Linked DNA regions of Rattus norvegicus. The protein of the gene in region 1 purifies or fractionates together with the protein of each later gene. This does not show direct contact. Links are inferred from orthologs where the notes say so. Each region holds a gene or a part of one and is shown in the gene's direction. Other genes may lie near its edges. The genes, in order: Fkbp5, Phlpp1 and Ago1.

What was found.
Region 2: the proteins of Fkbp5 (region 1) and Phlpp1 purify together in Homo sapiens (affinity purification with mass spectrometry; 4 studies listed by BioGRID and IntAct, with this or other methods). This does not show direct contact. The link is inferred for Rattus norvegicus from reciprocal best matches to the Homo sapiens genes FKBP5 and PHLPP1.
Region 3: the proteins of Fkbp5 (region 1) and Ago1 purify together in Homo sapiens (affinity purification with mass spectrometry; 6 studies listed by BioGRID and IntAct, with this or other methods). This does not show direct contact. The link is inferred for Rattus norvegicus from reciprocal best matches to the Homo sapiens genes FKBP5 and AGO1.

The regions. Positions count from the first base shown.
Region 1 is NC_086038.1:6,463,472-6,467,118, reverse strand, and holds part of Fkbp5 (peptidyl-prolyl cis-trans isomerase FKBP5), read left to right. Parts: intron 1-2,032; coding exon 2,033-2,218; intron 2,219-3,647. UniProt on the Homo sapiens protein: Immunophilin protein with PPIase and co-chaperone activities. Component of unligated steroid receptors heterocomplexes through interaction with heat-shock protein 90 (HSP90).
Region 2 is NC_086031.1:22,821,885-22,825,631, forward strand, and holds the start of Phlpp1 (PH domain leucine-rich repeat protein phosphatase 1), read left to right. Parts: upstream 1-1,247; 5' UTR 1,248-1,496; coding exon 1,497-2,961; intron 2,962-3,747. UniProt on the Homo sapiens protein: Protein phosphatase involved in regulation of Akt and PKC signaling.
Region 3 is NC_086023.1:144,031,611-144,035,257, reverse strand, and holds part of Ago1 (protein argonaute-1), read left to right. Parts: intron 1-261; coding exon 262-382; intron 383-771; coding exon 772-953; intron 954-1,262; exon of another isoform or gene 1,263-1,285; coding exon of another isoform or gene 1,286-1,344; coding exon 1,345-1,481; intron 1,482-1,700; coding exon 1,701-1,835; intron 1,836-1,969; coding exon 1,970-2,057; intron 2,058-2,674; coding exon 2,675-2,822; intron 2,823-3,647.

The DNA.
Region 1 (3,647 bases):
CGTTCTTGTCACTGAGATCACTCGCCTGGGTCGCTGGAAGTGTTACAGGGGCAATGTGTATGTTTCAGCATGCTTCCAATCTTCCTAAAATGACCAATCTGGGTAAAATCTGGATCATCCGTCATCACACATATGGAACGCATTATTTTTAACATGTAATTCGATAGACAAGCTCTTTCAAAACATCAGTCTGTTGGGGAAAAAAATTAATGAAAGGTTCAAAACCACTGACCTAAGGCTTAGCCCAGAACTTTGTGTCCCACTGAGCACTTCCTGGAGGCACCTTCCTCATCCTAGGTGAGGGGCCTCATGCCAGCTTCAGAGGGGGAGGGCTGTCGTCGGTCCACGTTCCGTCTCCCTTCAAAGCTTGAGACGCCTTTCTTTTGTTGCACTGCTCTGTCCAGCGTCATCTTCCCAGGGTGTCTGATGTGACATTTGCCACATGCAGAGTGCGGGTGACTGCAGAGCCGCCTGGGCTCCAGCTCTGTATGTCTGCGCTCTTCATTCCCCTGCCTGTCTGGCTTCCAGCTGTGGGCAGAGGGACTGAGCGGGCAGAGGGACTGAGCGAGGTCCTTTCCACCTCTGAACGCTCTGCAGTGCAGGAGAGCACTGTCCCCATCCAGTTCTGAGAGTCAAGCACTGGTAGCGGTGTCACCACACACCACAAGGCTAGGGCCGCTCTGCTGTGTGCGGACATCTTGCGCCCCCTAGTGCTCCTTGGGAAGGAAGTGTGGCTGAGCTGGCTGGTTGGTTTTGAGGGCTGGAGAATTGTGGGGAGAGCTCTGCAGTGTCCTGGCCTCCCATCCTGAGTGCACTCAGGTCTGGCTGCCCTTATGCCATCCTGTCTGTCCTCAGGCTGGTAATCTGCTGCAGAGAAGAGCCCTCACCTCTACCCCGGTTTTCTCTGGGCTCACAAGTTGCCACCCACCATGCAGTGGTCACTGGAGCGGCAAGCACACTGTCTCCACACAGCTTGTTGTTCAGGGCGAGCGCCATGTGCACTATTCAGTTGTTCACCGCTGTCAGAACTCACTAATCAGCAGGAGCATGTGTGGAGTCTGGTTACTCTGAAACAGCAGTTCACAGGGGTCACGTATCCGATACCCTGCACATCAGGTATTTACACTATGATTCATAGCACTAGCAAGATTACAGTTATGAGGTGGCAACAAAAATAATTTAGGGGTCACCACAACATGAAAAACTGTATTAAAGGGTCGCAACATTTGGTGGGTTGGGAACCACTGCCCTGGATGCTGAGGAGACAGGAAGACGGACCATAAGTTTGGCACTAGACTTCACAGTGTAGCAAGGCCTTTTCTGCATGAAATAAAGGCCTGGAGAGAGCGATGGCAGGTATCGTGCTTGCTTAGTGTGCATGAGGGAGGCCTTGGTGCAGCAGAGGAGGCTGGTGGAACAGAGAAAGGTAGAACAGTTCCTCACACATCGAGTTTGCTCTCCAAGGTTGTGTGCACTGTGTGCTACCAACAGCCTATGTGTGTTCCCACTGCCATGGGTCAACACAGGGTGCTCTGGCCCCACCCACCTTTGATAACATGGTGCCAGGGGACAGCCCAGCTCTGAAGTCTGCCTATGCTGACTGCTGCTCTCCACGGCTCCTGGGAGCCGAGCACTTGCACAGCCTGCTTTAGACAGCCCAGGCCTGCGGTGTGGGGATGCCAGCTACCATAGTCCAGTGTTTACTGTCAGTGCTGCGATGGGGACGCCACCCATCGCACCAAGTCACCTCCTGTCTGATAAGCCAAACAGCTCACCATCCTTTGGAAGACTGAGGAATGTTGGCTCCCCGGCGCAACCTCCTGCTGTCAGGCTGAAAGAATGCCTGCTCTGCTGTTAACCTGGTCCAGGCCACCTCACAGGCCAGCAGGGCTTCCCCAGAACTAAGGAGAGGCAGGAGACAGAATGGGGCTGGTGTGCAGGCCTCTTCATGTGAGGACCCGGCTGAGGCAGGCCACACTCACATCAGTGGATCCTCTCCACAGTGATACAAGCCACTCTTTTTTTCTCCTAGGGAGGCAAGTACATGCAGGCCGTGATTCAGTACGGGAAGATAGTGTCCTGGCTGGAGATGGAGTACGGCTTGTCAGAAAAGGAGTCCAAAGCTTCGGAGTCCTTCCTGCTCGCAGCCTTCCTCAACCTGGCCATGTGCTACCTGAAGCTCAGAGAGTACACCAAAGCTGTCGAGTGCTGTGACAAGGTGGGTGGGCACCTCCGTCCATGTGCCACCTCTGCTCCCATCAGGTTCTTTATGGTCAGCATGAACCAGGACACCCTAGAGGATGGGGCTTTCTTTTTTTTTTTTTTTTTTTTTTTTTCTTTTCTTTTCTTTTCTTTTTTTCGGAGCTGGGGACCAAACCCAGGGCCTTGCGCTTGCTAGGATGGGGCTTTCTGTGGCTACCTTTGTCTTGCACTTTATACAAAACTGCTCACAGTGTTGATAACAGTCTTCATCGGTGGCCCTCTTTACCCAGGTTCTGGGTCTAAGAGTAGACAGGGAGAGAGCGCTGGGGATTGAACCCAGGGCATTGTGCATGCTAGGCAAACACTACCACTGGGCCACACAGCCTCCCCCCAGTGACACACTTCCTCCAACAAGCCACACTTCCTGATCCCTAGTCCTTCTAATTCTTTGAAACAGTTCCATTCCCTGGTGATGAAGTGTTCAGATATATAAGCCTGTTGGCCATCCTTATTCAAAGAACCACAGGGATCAATGCCATGGTCTTGGTATTTAGGAGGCAAAGACAGAAAAGTGAGAGTTCAAGGCTGCCCTGGGATAACAGGTTCTGTCTCAGAACAGTACTGTGAAGATAGCTCACTGGAAAGGCACGTGCTACCCAGCCTGATGACTTTGATTCCTAGGACCTACGTGGGAAAGAGAAGAACTCTGGCCTCTTCCACACTCCTACACAAGTGCATGACAAGTGGAATAACATTCGTACAGTACATGTGCAGACACCAACGTAATAATATGTATTTTTTTAAAGATTTATTGATTTATTTTATGTATATGAAAACACTGTAGCTGTCCACCAAAAGAGGGCATCAGATCCCATTACAGATGGTTGTGAGCCACCATGTGGGTGCTGGGAATTAAACTCAGGACCTGTGGCCAGTGTTCTTAACCACTGAGCCATCTCTCTAGCCCAGTAGTACATTTTTTAAGAACAACAAAAAATAAATGTGAAATGGCAAAAAAGACATTTTATATGTTGTAAGACCTCAAAAGAAAATAGAGAGTAAAAGAAAAAACACCTGTCCTCTGGTGTGTGTGTGTGTGTGTGTGTGTGTGTGTGTGTGTGTGTACACATACACAGATACATCAGATGCATGCACACACTTATATAATACACAACCCCAGAATGCAAAGTACTATAAGAACTAACTAGAGAAAGGTGGGACATAGTTACCATGTAGAACCAGGACTCTTTCCACATCAGTTGAGTATGTTCTGTGGCTCTCCCTCACTGTGCTTGGTGTAAAAAGACTCAACCCCTTAAGGACCATTCTGTGAATCGTGGGGATTTACTTCACTGACCCTCACAGGAAGAGTGTCCATGTCTGTTTTTATTATAAGGTTCATAATAATCCTAAGAGTCATAAGAGAAAGCTGTTGAGTGTCTCTC
Region 2 (3,747 bases), on another chromosome or scaffold:
GTAGCTAACCTAAAACCAAGCTGCCTTGATAGGAATTTCAGTTCTCTCTCTCCTACCAAAGTTTTCTAAAATTAAGGCAGGCTCTGGATAGTATGTAACCCAAAGCCTCGAAAGTGAGTATCTACCTATGTAAAGCTACTATGAGGGTGGCAACTCAATGCACGACGTTTATCAAATATTTCAAATAGTTAATTGCCTCAAACCAGCTTGTTTCAACCAATAAAAAGTAAGTTTATAGATCATACATTGCAACAGTAAGAACTCACACAACATAGTTAAAGCCTAGGTGGTGAGCAGTTTGAGGAAGTATGGAGATCAGACTATACCGAGAAACCTTGTCTCATTCACCCTCTACCCAGCCCCGAGTGTGGAAAGAAAAATCCTGAAAGGACTAAGAGAAAGCAAGTCCCACAATGTCTCCATTCTAATATTTCTCCCTTCGTCTACTGTTTTCTGTTATGTAAGCTTTTACCAACAGGATACAAGGCCCCAAGTCCTTAGCTATTTCTGTCCTAATATGGGAGGGAGTAGATGGGCTTAATTTGAGTGCTTTACAGGAAGCACGTTCAACTATCTTCTAAAGAAGAATTTCCAAACACTGCTAGTTTTCATGGACCATGAAAAAAGTGCGGAAAAAGGAAGACCGGGCCAGCGATCCTGTGAACTGTGTATTTTTGTCTCATTCAAAGGCCTTACCTAGAGTTTAGAGTCCCTGAAAGCTCTCAATCTCAATTAGCCAGGAAAATAAAACTCATCTGGCAAACGGTAGAGAAGCGAGTTAATGAAAAACGTTCACAGGACACAGAGTTCAACAGCAGAGGGCACAATACCCACTAGCTAGGGCCAGAAGCTGGAAGAGAGGGAGGGCAGAATCTGACGATATCTGGGTCTTGTAGTTCGCTATTGGTCTCCATTGGAGGCTCGCCCAGGAGATGAACTACAACCCCCACTGTGCAACGCGAGCCCCTCTCGCCAGCTCTCGTCTATGGCGAGGACAAACCTCCTGGGAAACAGTTCTGCCCCACCCCCATACGCACGCGTCACGTTTGTTTACCCTGAGGCCCCGCCCCCAGCCTCCCGCTCTCCCCAGAAATGTCGTCATGCTAACGATGCATATTCATGAGCAACTCCGCCCCGCCACCGCCCGCCTTCCCGCGCTTCATTAATATTCATGAGTGAGGTCGGGCCGCAGCTCCGGGGAGCTCAGGCTGACGGGCAGCGGGCGGGGCCTGGCGCTGGGGAGCCCCGGACCAGCGGGGAGGGTGTGTGTGGGGGGGGCGGTGGCGGCGAAACGGGCGGGCGGCGCGCGGGATGGAACACCGAGACACCGACGGAATGCTCCGGATCGCCACATAATCCTCTGGAACAGCCGCGCCGAACGCCATCGGCGTCTCCGTTCTCCGCGCGCCGCTGCCGCCGCCGTCTCCCACCTTCGCCTCACCTCCTCCTCCTCCGCTGCCTCCGGAGCTGGGGGGGCGACGTGAAACCCCGCTACGATGGAGCCCGCCGCCGCAGCCCCGGCACAGCGACTCGCGGACCCCACGGGTGAGGACCGAGCCCCGGCGGCGGCGGCGGCGGCCGAGGGCGGACGGAGTCCGGATTCTGTGCTGAGCGCGGCGGCCCCGAGCGGCGGGAACGGCGGCGCGGCGCGAGAGGAGGCCCCCTGCGAGGCGCCGCCGGGGCCGCTGCCCGGCCGCGCGGGAGGCACCGGACGCAGGCGTCGGCGCGGGGTGCCCCAGCCCGCGGCCGGCGGGGCCGCCCCGGTGACCGCGGCCGGCGGCGGCGCCAACTCGCTGCTGCTGAGGAGAGGGCGGCTGAAGAGGAATCTGTCGGCCGCCGCTTCGTCGTCCTCATCGCCGTCCTCGGCGTCTTCGGCCGCTGGCGGCCTCCCGGCGTCCTGCTCGGCCTCGGCGTCGCTGTGCACCCGGAGTCTGGACAGGAAGACGCTGCTCCAGAAGCACCGGCAGCTGCTTCAGCTGCAGCCGTCGGACCGGGACTGGGTGAGGCACCAGCTCCAGCGGGGCTGTGTGCACGTCTTTGACCGCCACATGGCCTCGTCCTACCTGCGCCCAGTGCTCTGCACGCTGGACACCACAGCCGCCGAGGTGGCCGCCCGGCTTCTGCAGCTGGGCCACAAAGGCGGCGGGGTGGTGAAGGTGCTGGGCCACGGGCCACCTCCGGCCGCTGCCCCGGCCGCCAGCGATCAGACCCCGGCCACAGAGCTCGGAAGAGACGTGGAGCCACCGCCCTCGAGCAGCACGGTCGGTGCTGTCCGGGGCCCTGCGCGCGCGCCTCCTGCCGATCTGCCGCTGCCCGGGGGCGCCTGGACGCGCTGTGCACCTCGGGTCAACCCTGCGCCCTCGGACTCCAGCCCCGGAGAGCTGTTCGCGGGCGGCCCCTGTTCCCCGTCCCGCGCCCCGCGCCCGGCCTCCGACACCGAGAGCTTCAGCCTGAGCCCCAGCGCCGAGAGCGTGTCAGACCGGCTGGACCCCTATAGCAGCGGCGGCGGCTCCTCCTCTTCGTCCGAGGAACTAGAAGCTGACCCGGCCACGGTCTTGACGGGGCCTTCCGGGCCGCCCCACCACCCAGTCCGCTCCTCACAGCCTCGACCGCCTTCCCCGAAGACCTCGGCGTTACTGCAGCCGAAAGCCCCGACGGGCGTAGACGGCACTGGCCTAGTGGTGGGCGAAGGTCCCGGAGACGACAAGGCGGTGGCAGCTGCAGCTCCAGGCGTTCCTCTGTGGACTCCAGGGAGGATCCGGGAGACCGTGCAAAAGACGTCTTCTCCGCCCTCCCTGTATGTACAGCTCCATGGGGAGACTACCCGGCGCCTGGAGGCGGACGAGAAGCCATTGCAGATCCAAAATGACTACCTCTTCCAACTGGGATTTGGGGAGCTGTGGAGGGTGCAGGAGGAAGGCATGGATTCGGAGATTGGCTGCCTCATCCGATTCTATGCAGGTAAGGAAGTTGCATGCATGTTTCTGTATAGCGGCTTCGAACCCTGGCCCGGACCGATAAATGATTCGAGGGGCCTGGTGAGTCTGGCAGTCTTTTCTAGCTGGTTCACATGCTGTTTGTGCAAGTACTAAATTCAGTATTCTTTAAATCTGCACTTTTTAGTGTCCAGGTCTGAGGTTGGAAAGCCGGGTGGACGAGGTGGCAAAGTCACCTGGAAATACAGGAAACACCTAAGAGGGGTACGGGTCCTTAACTGTAAAGGTGGTTTCCTCCAGGCCTCTGCTCTCGTTGGGTTGCAGGCGGTTTGGGATTCCAGGTAACACATTAATATAGACAGAGGACAATGACCAACGGAAAGTGTTCCATGATGCCTTCCCTATTCAGCTGTCCACAGTTTACCATTCATAGACAAGGCAGTGTGTGTGGGCCTCTGGGGCTGTGCTCTTGTCAACTGATGCTCCTGTTCCACCGTCTGCCACGCTTCTTTGCTCACTGAGTTCTTGTAGACACCCGAGAAGTGTGTGTGTATGTTTGTTGTTTTGAGTGTTGCTCACCTTCGGCGTTTTTAATTACTTTATTTCACTTTCCAAGTTTGAATCTTGCATAAAAGATGAGTTGGCCTGCTTCTGTCTTGCAGCCTTTATTGTCAGAACTGCGACAGGACTTGAAACAGACTAGACTTAGTAATGTCGGTGATTACTGCCTCTGATGTGACCTGAACTCTAGCAGTATTTTAGTATCTGTTCAAGTGCTTGTCCAGGGGTGACCAGTCAGTTTCTCCCTTGC
Region 3 (3,647 bases), on another chromosome or scaffold:
GTCTGTGGAGGTCTCATGATCTGAGGACCAACAGTATTACTGTAGGATTTTGGAAGTGTGGGTTCTAAGTGTGGGTTCAAATCAGAAGATGACTTTAATGAAACCTGATGATTCATAGGAATGTTGGAAGCTTGAGGTGTATTGCCACGGAGTAGACCTTAAACATGAGTGTGGTACACGGGATGTTGCCTCAATTTTGAGCTGTTTCCAAAAGCCAGAGTGACAGCCTCAGCTTCCACGTGCCACGTCTGTGCTTTGCAGGGAGGTGGTGGAGTACATGGTCCAGCATTTCAAACCGCAGATCTTTGGGGATCGCAAGCCTGTGTACGATGGAAAGAAGAACATTTACACAGTTACAGCACTGCCTATTGGCAATGAGAGGGTAAGGCCAGGGCTGAGGCTAGCCCTATAAGCCCAGGGAGGCCCACCTAGTGATCCAGAGATCCTTTTATTTTGTGCTGAAAAGTATATTTTGGGGCCATAATGAATCAGGGTAGACACTTAGTGTACTGTGTGCCTGTCCCCAATAATGAAATTAGATTAGACTTCAAAAAAAAAAAGACTCAAAGGATTTCCTTCTAGATTAAGGGGGCCAGAAGCACTGCAGCATCATCTGTGGAAATCAGGGTGTGGGTCTTTATTCGGGGGTTTTCAGTGTGAGCCCCTGTTGGCTTGGCTTTGGCAGATTGTGGAGTGGGAGACAGTGAGTAGGACAGGAAGACTAATCTGTAGAAATGTGATCGTCACCCTTTTCTTCTTCCCATCTTGAAGGTTGACTTTGAGGTGACCATCCCTGGGGAAGGGAAGGATAGAATTTTTAAGGTCTCCATCAAGTGGCTAGCCATCGTGAGCTGGCGCATGCTGCATGAAGCCTTGGTCAGTGGCCAGATCCCTGTGCCCTTGGAGTCCGTGCAAGCCCTGGATGTGGCCATGAGGCATCTGGCATCTATGAGGTACTGAGTATAGTTATTATCTAAGCTACGAGTGTTGGTAAAACTGCTGTTGGGGGAGGAGGGAGTGAGTGTGTCTTAAGGTCCCTCAGGGAAAAAAAAGAACTGAAGGCCTACCATGCATGTGTGAGGCAAGTATATATACACATGTTTAGATGGTTAGACCCCCGGCCCCATCCTTAGATACCATTTTGGCCTCACTCCATCTATCCCTACAGGGCAGAGAGAAAGGTAGAAACTTAAACAAGGTCAGTCTTAACTATTGGCCCAAGAACAGAGCTGGCATTAAAGCCCTGGTGTCCTGCCTTCCAGGCCAGGGCTCCTCCGTGCCCAGGATGCCTCACAGGGTGGGGGCCTGTGCCCGAGGGACCAGTTCTCTGCCTGTCCCTGCCAGGTACACCCCTGTGGGCCGCTCCTTCTTCTCACCGCCTGAGGGCTACTACCACCCGCTGGGGGGTGGGCGCGAGGTCTGGTTCGGCTTTCACCAGTCTGTGCGCCCTGCCATGTGGAAGATGATGCTCAACATTGATGGTGAGTGGGGAGAGCTATGGAGCCAGGGGCACCCTAAATCCAGTGACCACACTCCCAGCCTCATCCCTCCCAGCTCTGCAACCACAGTCTAATTCCTGTAGCCCTGGCGCCCTGTCCCTGTCCCGGTGCCCTGCAAAGAGGAGAGTACAAATCATAATGCCTCCACTTATTCTTTCCTGAAAGTGTCTGAGCCAAGCTGTCCCTCCCCTGTCCCTACAGTCTCAGCCACTGCCTTCTACAAAGCACAGCCAGTGATTGAGTTCATGTGTGAGGTCCTGGACATCAGGAACATAGATGAACAGCCCAAGCCCCTCACGGATTCCCAGCGCGTTCGGTTTACCAAGGAGATAAAGGGTGAGGACCCACCACCCAAACGGGGAAGAGAAAGCGCCACTTTCTCTAACCCTAAGAGGGAATCCCTCTGGGGAAGGCCAGTGAGGGAACTGAGCAGTCTGTTCCCACCTTAACAAGCAGTGTGTGTCTCTCAGGCCTGAAGGTGGAAGTGACCCACTGTGGACAGATGAAGAGGAAATACCGCGTGTGTAATGTTACCCGTCGCCCTGCTAGCCATCAGACGTAAGTCGGCAGCACCGCTACGCAGGGTCAACCTAGCGCACGGCTAAGCTGTCTGACCCACTTAACGTCTGTGTTGTCAGAATAAGACTTTTCTAGTCTATCTCTGAAGATAAACATCCTTTCCTCGACCTCCCCAGATCATGTCTCTCCATGACTTTTTTTTTCTTTTTTTTTTTTTTTCTCGGAGCTGGGGACCGAACCCAGGGCCTTGTGCTTGCTAGGCAAGCGCTCTACCACTGAGCTAAATCCCCAACCCCTTTTCCCTTCTTAATCTCTTAGTTTCTTCCTTGGACCTTTACTGTAAAACACGAGTGAGTGGTCCACCGACTACTGTTGGGTCTGTCCTGATGAAATACTGTGGTCCCCTTTCTTCATCCCAGGCTATGCTGGACTCTTACCTTTAGTAGGCATCCACTCGGGCTTTAGAAGTACAGAGGAGGGAGATGGGTTGGCCTTTTGGAACGGCTCTGTCATCTTCAGGCTTTCCAGTGAAGCCTTGTAGCAATTGCCTTTCTGAGAGCAGCCACGATGAGAGGCCTGAGGCGGTCTTTGGTTGTGGCTGTGGAGAGGTGGGGTTGACACTGAATTATGATGCTTCCTTCCCTTCCTCCAAACAGGTTTCCCTTGCAGCTGGAGAGCGGACAGACCGTGGAGTGCACCGTGGCACAATATTTCAAGCAGAAATACAACCTTCAGCTCAAGTATCCTCACCTGCCCTGCCTGCAAGTTGGGCAAGAGCAGAAGCATACCTATTTGCCCCTCGAGGTAAGGCTGCCTGCCAGAGAGTACGGCTTGGCCGACACTGGTCCTGGACGTCTCTTGAGCCGGTCACAGTCTCCTTTCCTCATTTTCAAGTTTGAGAAGTTGATGTTCTAGAAAGCTTTAAGGTTGTTTTTGTATGAAGTCTAGACTTCCTACTGGCTAAATTCTGTTCTTTTTTTTTTTTTTTTTTGGTTCTTTTTTTTGGAGCTGGGGACCGAACCCAGGGCCTTGCGCTTCCTAGGCAAGCGCTCTACCACTGAGCTAAATCCCCAACCCCTAAATTCTGTTCTTATCCCTGCCTTTATTTTTATCTTCTTCCAGGACTCCTAGGCAAAAGGGCAAGCTGTGTTTGTTTGTTTGTTTGTTTGTTTGTTTGTTTGTTTGTGTGAGTGGTTGGCTGGCTGACTGACTGGCTGGCTGGCTGGCTGACTGACTGGCTGACTGGCTGGCTGGCTAGCTGGCTAGCTGGCTGGCTGGCTGGCTGGCTTACTGGTTGGTTGAGACATGTCTCCAGCCCAGGCTGGCCTTGAACTCACATTTAGACAGGGATAACATTGAACTTCTGATCCTCCTGTCTCCTTCCAGGGTTAGAGATTGTAGGCATACACTACCACGTGCATTTATGGGGTATTGGGGATTGAACCCAAAGTTTTATGTATGCTAGGCAAGCCCTTTGCCAACTGAGCTACATCCCCAGCCTTATTATATAGTATTGGGGTTTTTTGCACATGGTCAGGGCAGAGATTTCAGATACTCACATACATGCTATCTCTTAATTTCTCTTTCCTGCGGTCTGCAGTTAGGGATAATGAGTAACCTGAGAATTTT